2 linked regions of the Stegostoma tigrinum genome follow. The protein of the gene in region 1 binds, or shares a complex with, the protein of each later gene. Links are inferred from orthologs where the notes say so. Each region holds a gene or a part of one and is shown in the gene's direction. Other genes may lie near its edges.

Evidence for each region. Proteins that work in one complex are often made in the same cells at the same time.
Region 2: map3k5 (region 1) and dcp1a share a complex: the UniProt entries of both Homo sapiens proteins name them as parts of the cytoplasmic complex. The link is inferred for Stegostoma tigrinum from reciprocal best matches to the Homo sapiens genes MAP3K5 and DCP1A.

The regions. Positions count from the first base shown.
Region 1 is NC_081357.1:44,909,385-44,917,077, reverse strand, and holds the start of map3k5 (mitogen-activated protein kinase kinase kinase 5), read left to right. Parts: upstream 1-4,609; 5' UTR 4,610-4,852; coding exon 4,853-5,228; intron 5,229-5,255; exon of another isoform or gene 5,256-5,446; intron 5,447-7,693. UniProt on the Homo sapiens protein: Serine/threonine kinase which acts as an essential component of the MAP kinase signal transduction pathway. Plays an important role in the cascades of cellular responses evoked by changes in the environment.
Region 2 is NC_081364.1:29,252,582-29,260,172, reverse strand, and holds the start of dcp1a (mRNA-decapping enzyme 1A), read left to right. Parts: upstream 1-4,487; 5' UTR 4,488-4,559; coding exon 4,560-4,772; intron 4,773-7,591. UniProt on the Homo sapiens protein: Necessary for the degradation of mRNAs, both in normal mRNA turnover and in nonsense-mediated mRNA decay. Removes the 7-methyl guanine cap structure from mRNA molecules, yielding a 5'-phosphorylated mRNA fragment and 7m-GDP.

The DNA.
Region 1 (7,693 bases):
ACTAGGGCAAACACCCACACTCTTTGAAATAATGCCATGTGAACTTCTGCTTGCGAGGATAGATGGGACCTTGATTTGAAGTTATCGGCAAAATATGGCGTATCCAAAAGTGCAACACAATCAGTACCTACATTTTATGCTTATGACCTAGAGTGGTACGTGGCCATATCTCAACCTTACAGTTCTAGAGAAGAGTTATATTGCACTCGCAATGTTTACTCTGATTCTCACCAGCGAAGCTACCATTCCTGCTGGGATTTTTCAGCATTTTCTGTGTTTGTTTTAAACCTACCAGCACTGTCTCAGGAGAAAATACTGTCAACTGGACCAGAGCTGACTTAAAACAGCGAAAACTGACCCCACCCCCTTAAAACTAAGCAATACTTCTGTTACCAGCTCATAATAAAGTTTTACACATAATGTTTGAATCAACTATGTCTCAAGTCAACAAATTTTGAAATTGTAGTAATCTGGACTCTGCTGGATCCTTATTAAGAAAAGTATTTAATTACATTTTCAATTAGTTGAATGTTTTTGCAGAATAACAACATATCCACCCTGTTTCTTTGGTGCTCAAAATGAATGCTGTGTCTTTTTATAGGTGATTAAAAGCTCAAGCTGCCTGAATATAGTTAGTATTGCAGGTGGTTTGGATAACCAGCCAAAAACAGCCAAATGTTCAGCCAATGTAAACAATCTCAAGAGCTTGCTGTGAATTAAACGTGGAAGTATTGGCTGAATCTGTGGCACTGTTAGTACTGGTAATGTGTTGCAAAAAAAATTGAAAAGAAATCAAAGACCTATTACATAATTATATAGAACGGCAATTTATGGAATTCACTGAGATGATCGAGGCATTTTTGATCAACAGAGTTTTTGCATAATCATAAATATTGTAACAAGAGATTTCTATACTTAATGATTTTTTTCTGATACAATACCATGAATAGAGAATGACATAATGGTTCAATATTTTGATTCATCGTGAGACCAGTTGAGGAAGTGTTTTACGTTAAATGTTGATTCTCAAACTACAGTACTGTAATATTACCAGAAATAGTTTATGAAAACAAAACTGAATAGCTGGAAACTTGAGGAATGGGGTTCAACTCCTACTCTCTCAATTTTGGCAGTTCTCAGTGATAAATCTGGGTGGAGCATTAGTTGTTATTTCCTGGACGCAATGAGTTAGAGTATTTGATGAAAAGGAGTTGTGTCTGACACTGTATAATTAGCAAGGCCTTAATTTAGCTTGCTGTCAGTTTAAATGCAAAGAAAACCTCTAACCACGCACACAACTAACCGGCTGTATTAGATTCTTCCTGTTCAGTTTCAATACAAACAATTCCTCAGAACTGGAATATTACCCTTTATATTGTCATCTTCTTCCCAGTATAGCAACGCACAAACTGTTTATGGAAATCTCCTCTTCCAGTTTTATGGCAAGTCTGCCTTTTCCTGGTATTACTTTTGTTAAGTCAAATTCATATAGTTTGTAAAATTACATGACCAGTATTTCCACTTGAAAATTACAGTATTTACAATAAAATTCATCTTGTCTTCACACAGCATACTGAAATGCTTCAACATGATTTTAATATTCTTAATAATCACAATATACATTCACTGCACAACTAGTCTGAGTGTATCTACAGTTTTCAGCCCTGGTGTATGATAGCTGAAAGGCTACAAAAGCCATGCACACGTCATCTACAGTTGTTTGTTTAAAGTTCAGCATTTGGCTGAAAATGTCTGTGGTTAGAAAATATTATATATTGCATATTAAATTTGGAATGGGATATAGGATTCCGTCAGGAGCACAAAAGCTGACGTTTCGGGCCTAGACCCACCAATTCCATTTTGATTTAGCCACTTTCTGCTTCCCCCACCCTTCCCTCATACTTGATGCTTTGCATTACCCATAATGGTCTTTGCATGTAAATAATTAATTGGCTGCATTGAGAATAGTTAGTCAAAGGAAAATATATCATGGTGATTGATTTAATTTATTGTCTCATGTAGCTAAGTACAGTGAAAAGCTTTGTTTATGAGCTGTACAGGCAGATCATATTCAGCAAGGACACATAGATCATTGGGTGAAAAAAAAGTTAGACAGAGGTATATGTTATGAAGTTGCATAGAGTTCATGAATTAGAAGGATTGTAAGAAAGCTGATATGTCATCCAAGATATGTAAGCAGAGGGTTTTTGAAAATCAGGGTGAGAGCAAACTGCCATCTGAGACATAAGCATCTAGCTCTCTCAAGAAATCAATAAGCTGTCTAAGAAAGCACCATGTATCCATAAGAGGTACCATGACACTGTTAGTTAAGAGTCCTCACAGAAGAATTCATAGAGAAAACATCCCTAACAGCAAGATTAGTAGAATAAACGTGTTTATGATTGGAACGATAGCGGAGAAGGTAGAGCATTCCCAAACTTTGAGAGACAAAGTTTTAATTTTTTTTCTTATTACACGGGTTATATAAGGGGGACTTGTGTTTAGTGGAACAGCATACCAGTAGAATTTTGTTCAGTTAGGAAATGGTTAGGAGTTGGGGGAATTATTCAGTTTGTTAGTAATTCTGTTAATGCATTCACTGTTAGCATTAAATAAATAAATTGTTACTTGTTACTTATAAAGTAAATATCAGGGATTTTCTTTCATTTAACCGCACTTTTTCACAGATTAGGCGAGGTGAGGCAAGCTTCTTTGGATGATTTGGGTTTAATTATTGGAAGAGGACCTCTACTCCTGCTTCTAAGTTTTAGAGCAGATTTGTAGGTTGTGTTGTGAATGTTATTGTTAGTTGGCTCCTGCTGTAACAGACTGGGAGCTTGTGTTTCAACTTTAATTATCAGAGAGGTTCGACCTCCTCTCCATACCACTTGCAAGTTACATCGCGCAGGGTGTGCACTAGGCAAGATCGGCATTAGCAAGATCGGCATATTTTGAAGTTAGAGAATCCATTCATCAATCTAGTAATGGCAAAGAAAAGCAATTCTTGAAGCTGTTGGTACATGTGTTCAGGCTTCTCTATGTTCTGCTTGACTGAAGTGGTTATGGGAGAGCATTGCTGGATGTAATGGGTCTTTAATCATGTTGGCAGCCTTTCCACAGCAACAGGCCATGTAAATGGAGTCCACGGATGGGAGGTTAGTTTCCATGATGGTCTGGACTGTGCCCACACCTTCTGCAGCTTCTGATGGTTCTGGGCAGAGCAGTTGCCATACACCTGGACTTTCAATGGTGCATCTGTAAAGGTTGGCGAGAGATCTTGTGGGCATGCCAAATTTCCTGAGCTGTCTGAGGAAACAGAGATGTTGTGTGTCTTCTTGACAGTCACATCTATGTCGAAAGTCCAGGACAGGTTGTCAGTTATCGTCCCTCTGAGGAACTTGATGCTCTCCAGCCTCTCAACCTCAGCACCACTGATGTTTGGGGGTGTGTTCTCCCCTCTTTCTGAAATCAATGATCAATTCATTAGTTTTGCTGACATTGAGCGATGTTGTTCTTGTTGCACCACATCACCAAGCTCTCTATCTCCTTTCTGTATTCTGACTCATCGCTGGCTGATATCTGTCCTACCACAGTGGTGCCATCAGCAAACTTATGGATGGCGTTCATTCAGAATTTGGCATCCACGGATGTACAGGGAGTACAGTAGGGGGTTGAGAACGCATCCTGGGGGGGGGAGAGGGGGGGCTCCAGTGTTGAGTGTTATCATGGAGGAGGTGCAGTTGTCAATCTTCACTGATTGTGGTCTGTGGGTCAGAAGCATGAGGATCCAGTTGCAGAGGTGGTGGTGAGAAAGCCATTCGGTTTTATGTAAGAGTACTAAAGGATATAAAGTCCGGTTCTCAATAGACTTGCCAGCTTTGGCTGGAAATATTCCAGATGTCATCACGTGACCTTCTATCGTAAAGTGCCCTTCCGCCAGACTGAACATACCAATTATCAGCGAGCCCTACATTTTCAATGCGTCCTGGTTGTTAATTTTGACAGTCTGGCCACCCCACCCTTGACTAAACATCCTGTCAACCCATTGTGTCTAAACTTATCTGAGAAGAACGGGCACACTTCCTCAAGGCGTGGGCTCCAGAAATAGATTCCAGCAGGAATATAAATATACCTGCGGGAGGTCAAGAGGCGACGGAAGGAAATGGGAGGTTGGAGGGGTGGGGGGGAACGAGGTTGTCCCAGTTTGGGTGCAAGGGACCCGATGATTGCCTTGACGGGGCTCTTTAGGAATCCAGGTCAAGCAAAGAAAGATTGGCGCTCTGATAAATAGTGCCAACATTGACGCAGTGCATGAGTTACAGTTCACTATCAAAGGCGTGTTTGCCATCAACATGGCACACACAGTGTAGCCCATATTTGTAACTCTGTAAGATAACCAAAGATGCAGTGAGGAAATACATTTGAAACATGACGTGCATGTTTAAAAATCCCACCCAGAGCTCGTTCAGTGGTGGGGTACTCGCATAAACTCTATTGCTATACTGTACTCCACGCCTCCTCCTGGCGTGTTGCACTGGGCCTTCGGATTGGATGTCCTCTTTTGGTAATCGGACAGCCCCTAAAAATCTAGACTTGGGACTGACTGGTTAGTGTAACCAGAGCAGCATACACACAGGCAGGGGCGATCGGACTAATTCCTGCAAGTATTAATATCGCTGCGTGGAATCACGAGCTTTTTGCAGTGTGCTTCTTTTCAAGTTCATGTAATTCCTTCGTATTCCCATGTCTGTGAGAGCAGGTTGGTTCGCTACGCTCTAGCGAGAGGCGCAGCGGCGACATAGTGTCGCTGAAACAGCAGCAGCAGCGGCGGTTCCGCTTCGCTCTAACCGATATGAGCCTGGACCAGGAGGCGGCAGCAGGCGCGGCCCTTGAGGGAGACGGCGGGGGCCTCGCTGTCCCGGTGCCGCTCCTGTGCCCGGGGCAGGGCAGTGCCAGCGCCAGCAGCAGTGTCCCGGCTGGCACCTACTGGCAGGACCACACGGCAGCCGCTTCGGTACCGTCCTCAGTGCCGGCTGCTCGGCTCAAGAACCGGCCGACTACCGTGGTGTACGTGGTGAACGAGGCGGCTCAGCTGCAGCTCGCCGAGAGCCTGGCTCTGCAGTGTTTGAGGGAGGCGTGCGAGAGTGTCAGCGCCTCCCTGGATACTGTGCCTTTCGAGAAGCTGGACTTCGGAGAGACCGCCGTCCTGGATTATTTCTACAATGCAGGTAAGCTGAGAGAGGGAGAGCTCTGAGCCCTGCTGCTTCTGCACAAATGTCCTCTTTTCTGTTTTAAGGAAATTGAAGACCTCGAGTCCTAACATTGCCGTAGGTGACCTTTACAGTCTGGAATGATGCACCTTTTTGAATGCTTGGATCCAGCTTCATCCGGTGGCTCACTGTAAACTGGAGGGTGAAACTTGAGCCACAACTTTGAAAGAGACAAGGTTGGTGTTGGCACTGTGAATCCAGCCTGTGTCGCTCTGCAGTACCCAAAGTGCCGCTGTCTTTGCACAGATATTGCTTGAGTGGTGTTCGATCTGTTAGAGACTGGTGAGCAATTGTCTGTTTAAATTTGTTGCCATTTGTTCTGTGCATAGACCGAAGCGTTCAGAATAATGTGTAACAAATAAAGCAGGTTCGAAGCGATGTGTTGCAGTACTTCTCAGAAAGACCGTATTAATGGCGACTTATGTTTCTCGTGGAGATTGAAACCATGACCTAACAGTGTTGGCACAGTATTCTGACACGAGTAATTTGTATGGTGCTACTGTATGGACTCCACTGCAAAATCACTTTTGCCTGGACCAGTATTCCATTTATTTTTTAAAAAGCTAAATTTTGAGTTAAATGTAACGTTGATCTGCGTTCTGCCAAACTATTGATGTTAAGGAGAACACTACTTGTAATAAAATTTGACAAGGTTCAGTTGTGTTCATCTGATACTGATCTTCACCACAGGTGAGTAATAATCAATAAATGTTTAGACTGTTCTGCTTGGTGCTTTTCCTGATTATCTGGTCAGAGGAACATTGCATCTGCCTTATTGAAGGAAGAAAGCACTGGGAAAGTTAAGACCTGGTTGGACCAAGAATTATTCAAGAGGATTTATTAGAACGGGTGACACTAAGTAAAAACTGACATCACCAGCAGATGTTGGGATGTAGCCAAGGATACTGAAGGAAGCAGTGGTGGAAAGTGCAGTTTGTTTTCAGTTTGTTCTTGAGATGTGGGAGTCTTTGGCTTGGGCAGCATTTATTGCCGATCTCTCTACCAAGATAGCCGTTGACTACCTTCCAGGTCAGGAGTCACATGTTAGGCCAGAAGAGGCAAGAATGACAGATTCCCTTCCCCAAAAGGATTTAATGAACTCGATTTTTTTTTGTTTTGACATCTGATTACATGGTTACCTTACACTGAAGTTTATAATTCCAGATTGCATTTTAATTAAAGTTTCACCATCTGCCATGGTGGAGTTCAAACGGATGTCCCCAGAACTTTAGTCCAGGGTTCTGGATTACAAGTTCAGTCACATTACTTCCAATCCTACTTAGATACAGGGATGGTGTCAAGAGACTGGAGAAATGTAAGTGTTACGTCTTCGTTCAGAGGGTCTAAGGATAAATTTTAATGGGTAACACATTTCACGTGGGTTGCTGATGTAAAATGCACAAACTTCCAAAAGGCATTTGGTAAAGTGCCACATAGCCTTGCTGGAAACATTGAAGGTTCTTTTATCAGCCTGATCCCTGTGCAGACGTTGTTTTCTGAGAAGAGATTGGATTGACTGGGCCTGTATTCACTGGCATTAAGAAGAATGAAAGAAGACATCATTGAAACTTATAAAACGCAGACAGGGCTGGACAGAGTGGATGCAGAGATAGTGTTTCTGATGATGAGAGGGTCCAGAGCAAGGGGTCACAGTCTCAGATTACGCACAGGCCATTTCAAACTGAAATGAGGAGAAATTTCTTTACTCCGTGTAGTGAACCAATAGACTTCTGTACCACAGCAGGCAGTGGAGGTAGAGTTGCTGAGTATATTTGAGAAATAAATAGATTTTTAGAAGATAAAGGCATGGAGAGGTGTGCAGGCTGTGGTAGTTGAGAAACTGTCAAAATTATCCACATGGAATAGTGGAATGGGTTTGACAGGCCAAATGGCCTATTCTTGCCATCAGTTTTTGTGTTTCTATAGAACAAAATGGACAGTGACTTGATATGAAGTCGACTGACTGGAAATAGAAATGAGTGACAAATGATTTTCAGACTGCACAATTTCAGAAATTGCTGGTGATTTAAAATCTTTCTAGGTATTGTGGATGGTGAGAAGACTTTAAATAGAAGAAAGAGGTTTTAAAAGAACAAAGGCTAATGGAATAGGTGGACTCCTAGCAGATCAAATTTATTATAGAGATGTGTGGAAAGAGACATTTGTGTAGGATAAGCAAGGAGAGGCAAAGCAAAATAAATGACACACAATTCTAAAGTGGTTGCAGGAGCAGCGAGGCCTGGAATATAAGAGCCTGAGTCATTGAAAGTGGAAGTTTGAAATAATGATTTAAAAGGTCTACAGAATCCCGAGCTTTAAAAACATGCAGACAATGTAAAGAGCAAGGAAGTTTTGATGAATCTTTTACAAAATACTGTTTTTTGTCTTTGCTGGAGTTCTGGACATACCACACCATATGCCGA
Region 2 (7,591 bases), on another chromosome or scaffold:
GCATTTTTGTGGGAAGTTGAATAATAGGAGATGTATTCTAGGAGGTGGGAACACGAGGCGGTGCCCACGAGGAGCTCGTTTCCAACTCTGGCAACCACTTCAAAACCGATATCCATTTCAAGCCTACTGACTCCCACAGCTACCTGTGGAAACAGGGAGGTCCAGGAAGGAGAGAGAGGTATTGGAGATGGTTCAGGTGAACTTAAGGTTGGGGTGGAAGGTGTTAACGAAGTGGATGAACTGTTGAGCACTTTGTGCGCAAAACGTCCTGTTCCTACCTAGAATTTCCCGCAACTCATCCCTCACACCCCCTCCCCGCAATACCTACCAAAACAGAATTCCCCTCATCCTCACATACTACCCCACCAACCTCCGGATCCAACGCATCATCCTCCGGCACTTCCACCATCTGTAATCTGACCCCACTACCAAAGACATTTTCTCCTCCCCACCCTTATCTGCTTTTTGGAGGGACCACTTGCTCCATGACTCCCTTGTCCACTCCACACTCCCCACCAGCCCCACCACACCCAGCACTTTTCCCTGCAAACACAGGATGTGCTGCACCTCCCCCCTCATCTCCATCCCAGGCCCCAAGAAGATCTTCCATATCAAACAGATGTTCACCTGCACATCTGCTAATGTGATACACTGTATCCACTGTTCCCGATGTGACCTCCTCTCCATCGGGTGAAACCAAGCGGAGGCTTGGGGACCGCTTTATGGAACACCCACGCTCCGTTCGCAACAAATGACCGTACCTTCCATTGCAAACCATTTCAATTCCCCGTCCCACTCCTCGGATGAAATGTCCATCCTGGGTCTCCTGCAGTGCCACAAAGATGCCACCCGAAGGTTGCAGCAACAGCATCTCATATTTCATTTGGGAACCCTGCAGGCCAATGGTATCAATGCGGATTTCACAAGCTTCAAAATCTCCCCTCCCCCAACCGCATCCCAAAACCAGCCCAGCTTGTCCCTGCCTCCCTAACCTGTCCTTCCTCCCACCTATCCACTCCTCCCACCTCAGGCCCCACTTCCATCTCCTACCTAGCAGCCTCATCCCACCTCCTTGACCTGTCCGTCCTCCCTGGTCTGAGCTATGCCCTCCGTAACTCCCAACCTACACTCACCTTTACTGGCTCTGACCTGTCTGTCTCCTGTCCACCTATCCTCTTCTTTATCCATCTTCTATCCGCCTCTCCCTCTCTCCCTATTTACATCAGAATTCCCCTCCCTGTCCCTATATCTGAAGAAGGGTCTAGACCTGAAATGTCAGCTTTCCTGCTGCTCTGATGCTGCTTGGCCTGCTGTGTTCATCCGGCTCGACACTTTGTTATCTCTCAACATTAAACCTTCTGTTTTTGGAGCAAGACAAATTTCATAAATACTTGTTCCGAGGAAGGGTCACCAGACCCGAAACGTTAACTCTTTTTTCTCCTCTGCAGATGCTACCAGACTTGCTGAGCTTTTCCAGCAACTTTGTTGTTGTTCATAAATACTTGTATGCTGTAGTTTCACACAGTCAAAGCTGATCATAAGCCATTGAGAGCTATTTTGAATCTAAAGTCAGCAATATCCATTTCAATAACAGCCAGAAAGCAGAAATGGACTTTGATTTTGTCTGCCTAACAGTGAAATGTTAAGTACAAGCAATTGGAAGGTCATTATATTACCAAAGCTTTGTCTGGATTAGCATCCTCATCTGAGATAGAGACCAATATGGATGATGCATTTTGTTTTGCAGATATTAATGAGTTGCCAGTCACTCTGGAAGACATCATGTATTGGCACCGGTATACAACTACATCACGAATGGATGACAACACAAACTCTATTCCAACCTTCTCTGTCAGGCAGAAGAAACAGAAGCTTGGATACTTGCACCAACAGGTTCAAGAACAGCTTCTTCCCTGCTGTTATTTGACTGCTGAATGGACTGCTCAAATTTCAAACCTAAAGTTGATCTTGCTTTGTGCACCTCCTGTGTAGCTGTAACCTTGTATGCCTTGCTCTGTCTAAGCACCCTATGATCTGTACGTCTTTGTTTGCTAATGATCTGCCTGTGCTGCTCATAAAACAAAGTGTTTCACCGTACTTAGGTACATGTGGCAACAATAAAGCAAATGAAAATCAAAAGAAACTAATCAGAAGAGCACGCATCCAGTCTTATGTACAAAGAAGAAGTTACTGGCCAGACAGGATGTCTATTAGCTGAACCTCAACTATCTTCAATTGTCAGAATAAGAGTGTCACAGGGGACTGTGCCTTTCTAGGTAGGTTGGCACAGACCTATTACCTATGTTGGAAAATCAATTGAGCCACATCAGAAATGGCTCAATGCCTGTGGCATGAAAGGTCTATGTGGTGCTGAATTTCTATGTCTCAGGATCACAGCTGAGAATACTGAATGATTTAGGGACATTTCTGGATAGTCCAGATGCAGGTTATCATGCATGTTGTCAACAAGCTTCCACAAACCAGGCAACAGCCTTTATCAGCGGAAGACCTTCTGCACAATGTGCATTTCATCTGTGCAACATTTCAGTCAAGCAACTGTGCCACATACATACTTAGGAAAGACTAGGTGTCAGACCCAATTAGGTACCCAAATATTTGTTCCATCCATGTTCAAGGATGAAACTGGTTGACAAGGGCTGTTCATTAAAGAAACAGCTAACAATGCCTATAAGGCATCCAACAAATATATGCAGTGGATAAATACAACATCTTCTGGGGTTAACTCAAACAATTATCAAGCAGGCCATGGGACGATTCCAATGATAGCTTGATTGCTCTAGTGGAGTCTTCCAAAATGTCACAGAAAGAGTGCTATGTGCCCTGCATAACTGATTACAAAAGACCTCCAGTATTGATGGACACCGATGTTCCATCTCCATGGACACCAGAGCATGGATATATCCAAGAAAAAAGAATCAGATAGTTGGGTCAAATAACTTCCTCAACAGTTCACTGATGGACCTGTTAATTACCAGGCCCATGAGCATGCTAAAAAATAAGTTCTTCAATCTGACTACCCCACATTGCACTGGATGGCTAAGATGTAACAAAATGTTGAGAACAGCCCTCAAATATTGAAAGAGGACATACATTATTGTATAGTGTACATAAATATATCACACAGGCTCCTCAAGACAAGAGAGTAGACAAGATTCACGCCTGCCCCTGAGGTACCCAATGGTTGCAGAAGGTCTCAAATATACTCCCCAGGAGCCCTTGCCACCTCCAGATGGCAGAACATTATGCTACAGTATGTTTCAGTAGCTGATGAGGAAGTTTCTCTGTATAGAATCTTGCTTTGGACTATGGGAAACACAACAGGAGCATTCATCCAAGATTGAAACATGGGACCTGATGCACATTCACTCAACAGAAGTCCTAAAGGAAGAACCCATGTCCCTAGACTAAGGGGTCAACCTCATAGTCTTTTTATGTCTCTTATCAATCTCAAACCACTGCCCATTCCCAATCCTACTTCCTTATGTATCCTGCCAGAAAACAAAACTCTTCTGATTCACGTACAGTTACACTTTCAAAATCATTATCACGCTAAACTTGAAAAGTGCAGATGAACAATCTCCATTGCTCAACTCTTAATAAGCAACTGTGCAATTTTAGAGGCCTGTCAATTGCTACATGTTTGAAATAATTATTTATTGAAGTAGTTTAATTTCACAAAACTTGAGTATTGCCAAAAACAGGAAAAATTTGTTAATTTTGAAAATTTTCTGAATAAGGGTCTAGACCCGAAACGTCAGATTCTCCAGCATCGGCAGTGCCTACTATTCTTCTCGCCAGCAATTTCTGTTTTATTGTTCTGATTTCCAGCACTCGCAGTTTTTTTTAATATAGAGGAAATGTGAGTTTTTGTGGTCGAGTAGCATCCCTCTGGCATTCTATAATGTGTAGAAAAAGAAAATCAAGAATGACTCTCCAAAATAAATCAATGTGTGCACACGAAGCAGTTATTTGTATATCAGGGTACGGCCAGGACTTCGCAGTGAGTTACGTACGCGAAGTGATTCTTATAACTGACTGAAATTCGAATTAAATAACACGCGAACTGCTCCTTACTGTATTTGCACCTGTTTACTGTACCACTTAATCATACGCATACGTTTGCTATTTTTAATGGGATACCTCACCATTTATAAGATTGATGACTAAAAATCTCCCAAAGCTTTGCCGCTGTTATTCCTGCGGATTACCAGGGCTACGCCGGTGCAATAAATTTACTTATGAGCTACACTTATTAACGATACGTTGATGTGTCTGATTTAACAAGTGGTAGTGACACGTTCACTTTGGAATAAGTAATGGTGAGGCACGAGGGACAAATGACGGCTGCAAAATAGTCACAGAAGAATTTTTCAAAATCCTTATTGTAAAGGGAGGGGTAATGCTCGATCTTCACAATTTTATCCCTCATTTAAAAAAACTGCGTTAATGTTTTACCGATGTGAAGCGGAAGAGAAAAAAGCTCCATTTGAATCTGCAAACTGGAAGTGTTGAGGCGTGCGGATATTTTGCTGCAGTGAATGGTTTGTCTTTCCGGGAAGAAGGTCAGGGGGAGGGAACATTTCTTGAGTTTCTCCTTTACACAACTCAGGAAATCCAACATGGAGGCCCTGAGTAAAGGCCGCGATATAAGCCTTTCTGCCTTGAAACAAAATGACCCTTTCATCTCCAGCATCGTCGATGTGACCAGCCAGGTTGCGTTGTATACTTTTAACCCAAAGGCCAGTGAGTGGGTAAGATGGTGTTTCTTCATTTCGTGCTGGGGATGAGGAAAAAGAATAACCAAAACGGCAGCGATCTTTATGAACTGCTTTACTTGCCTGGGAAGCCTTTTGAAGTTTTCGACGGGCGGCTGTGTCTCTGCATTTTGCTTTTGGCCCTGCAGCACAAATTTGTTCAAGTCTAATATCTTGAAGGTCTGAGTGTTGAAGTTAAATAAGAAGGTAGAAACTTAACGGTCAACATTAAACAGCTTGAAGACCTTTTTATACTCTAATTCCATACTGATTCATGTTGCATACGAAACTATTCGCACCAGACTTCATCCTGCGCTATGAAACATAACCTTCTGTCACTTTCATTCTCTTATATTTATCCAATGTCTTTCCTTAATCATCAAATAACATTACTAAAGTTTCTTGAAAAGGCTCAAGTGGCTTGAGACTAGCATTGAATTGTGATGTCCGTATGCTCTTCCTCAGCCAAATCCTTCAGTTTCTTTGGTTAAGAAAAATCGATTGACCTTACAGCAGTTACTATTGGACGAAGAGTCCAAACTTTTCACTCTTTGTCTGTAAAATGTGTTTCTTAACTGCACTCCTGCAAGGCCTGGTTCATACTCTTAGATGTACAATACCTTTGTAATCAGACTCACTGACCAGTAGAAATAACTTCTCTACACCTTTTTACTTGTTCCCACTAACGTTATAAATGGTCAAGAATACAGGCTTAATGTGATTTGTCCGTTTGAGTTTTAATCTGTACAGTCCAGGCAGCATGACCAACTGTTATGAAATGATCGAAGGGACACTTCATCTGGGGTTGATGGGGTTTTCAAGAAATTCCATGAATGAAAATAATGTGGAATTAGAGCCTGTCATCTGCATGTTTGGCTGCTCTTTGAGTATTTTGCCAACAGCTTGGGGTTAATGGGAACACATTGCAACTACACCAAGCCACAATGGGAATTGAAAGAAGTGACTGTAGTTTGTCTTTTTGACTACCTCATGAAAGGTACAGAAATGTAGGACAAATGATATCTCTGGAAATGCAAGTGACCCAATTCTGTTGGGTCACTGAGCCCCTGAATCAATCTGGTAAAACCTGTACTCCACTCTTTCCAAATCTAACGTATCTTTGCTATGGTGTCACTCTTAAACTGCATGTAGTATTTCAGGGCTTTGCATTACTGAACCATACTTGCCTATGTTGAAATTCATTTGATAATTTTGTTAAATCACATGAAATTAGATACGTCCTTTTTATACAACATATATTGTCTATTTTATGTTTTCTGGACAAGCTTGGATGTGTGGATTCCTATTATGCTAAATCAATAGAATATCTACGTTTTCATCATCAGACTCATGGCATCCTGCAATTTTTGTTTTGAATTTGCTATGAAGTATAGTATTTAAAATTGAAACAGTTTGAAAATTCAAATATCATTTTTAAGTTTATGCTTCAAAGAATAGCTCAATAAGATTTCATACTTTAAAACTTGTTGTCACAATTGACTAAAATATATTAAGACTATAAGTTGCTGACAAAATGGAAACAAACAATTTTGGGGAAGTGTCACAGTGCACAAGGAGGCCATTGTGTCTTTACGAGTACATTAATGAGCATCACTATAAGGTGCCAATCTCCTGCTTCGCCCCCACCCTGTGTAACATTCCACATAATTTGGATAGAAATAATCTCCCAAAACCCTCTTGAGTGTCTCAATGGAACCAGATTTCACCACGCTTCAGCTTGTACGTTCCAGACCCTAATTTCCTGCTAATTGAAAAATATTGTCCTCAGTTCTCCCTGGTTCTTTGCAGGTCACTTTAAGTTTATTCCCTTCTGTACTTGCTTTTTTTTTCACAAGTGTGAGTTGTTTTTCCCTATTTGCTGTATCCAATTCACTCATGATTTTGAAAATTTTCCATCATATCTACTCTTAGGACTGTTCTCCTTGCAGAGAAGAAGGCTAACTACTTAAGTTACGAAGGTAGATTGAAGTTCCTCATCCTTAGAACTATTTTTATAAATAGATTCTACGCTCTTTTCAATGCTTTGACGTTCTTTGTAATATGGTGCCAGTTCTGTGCAACATACTCAAGCTGAGATCTAAAAAGTGTCTTGTACAAGTCTATCTCCTTGCTATTGACCCAGTTAATAAGACCAAGGACTATGTACTTTTTACTTATTGCTGTCTCTATACCTGTCTTAGCACTTTCAATGACTTCTGCACATAGGCTCCCAGGTCTATCTACTCCTACACTCCCTTAGAATTCTACCCATTATTTTAGATTGTCTTTCAGTATGTTCTTCCCACCAAAATTCTTCTCTACATTGTCATTTATTGCCCCTATCGTAAACTTGCTAGTGAAATTAACACTACCATCCTTGCATTTTACAATTCTTGCAAGTTTTGTGTTCTCTGAAAACTTTGAAATTTAACTCCTGCACACAAAACCTAGATTATTTAATATATATATTTCAAGAACGAATTACTTGGATCTAGTCCTTGAGACTAAAAGGATCACAAGGTATGGGGAGAAAGTGAAAACATGATACTGAGTGGGATGATCCGCCATGATCATATTGAATTTTAAAGGGCCCACATAGCCTACGCCTGTTCCTACTTTCTGTGCCTCTATATTAGTAGAGGAAAGATCACAATGCTGACCCATGGAACTGAATTGCAAATCTGCCTACAACCCCAAAAAAATCTATTGACCATAGTTATCTGTTTGCTACCACTCCAGCTGATTGTGTATTCATATTGTTACTGTCCCTCTTATACCATGATCCATAATTTTCCCCTCAAATCTGTTATGTAGCA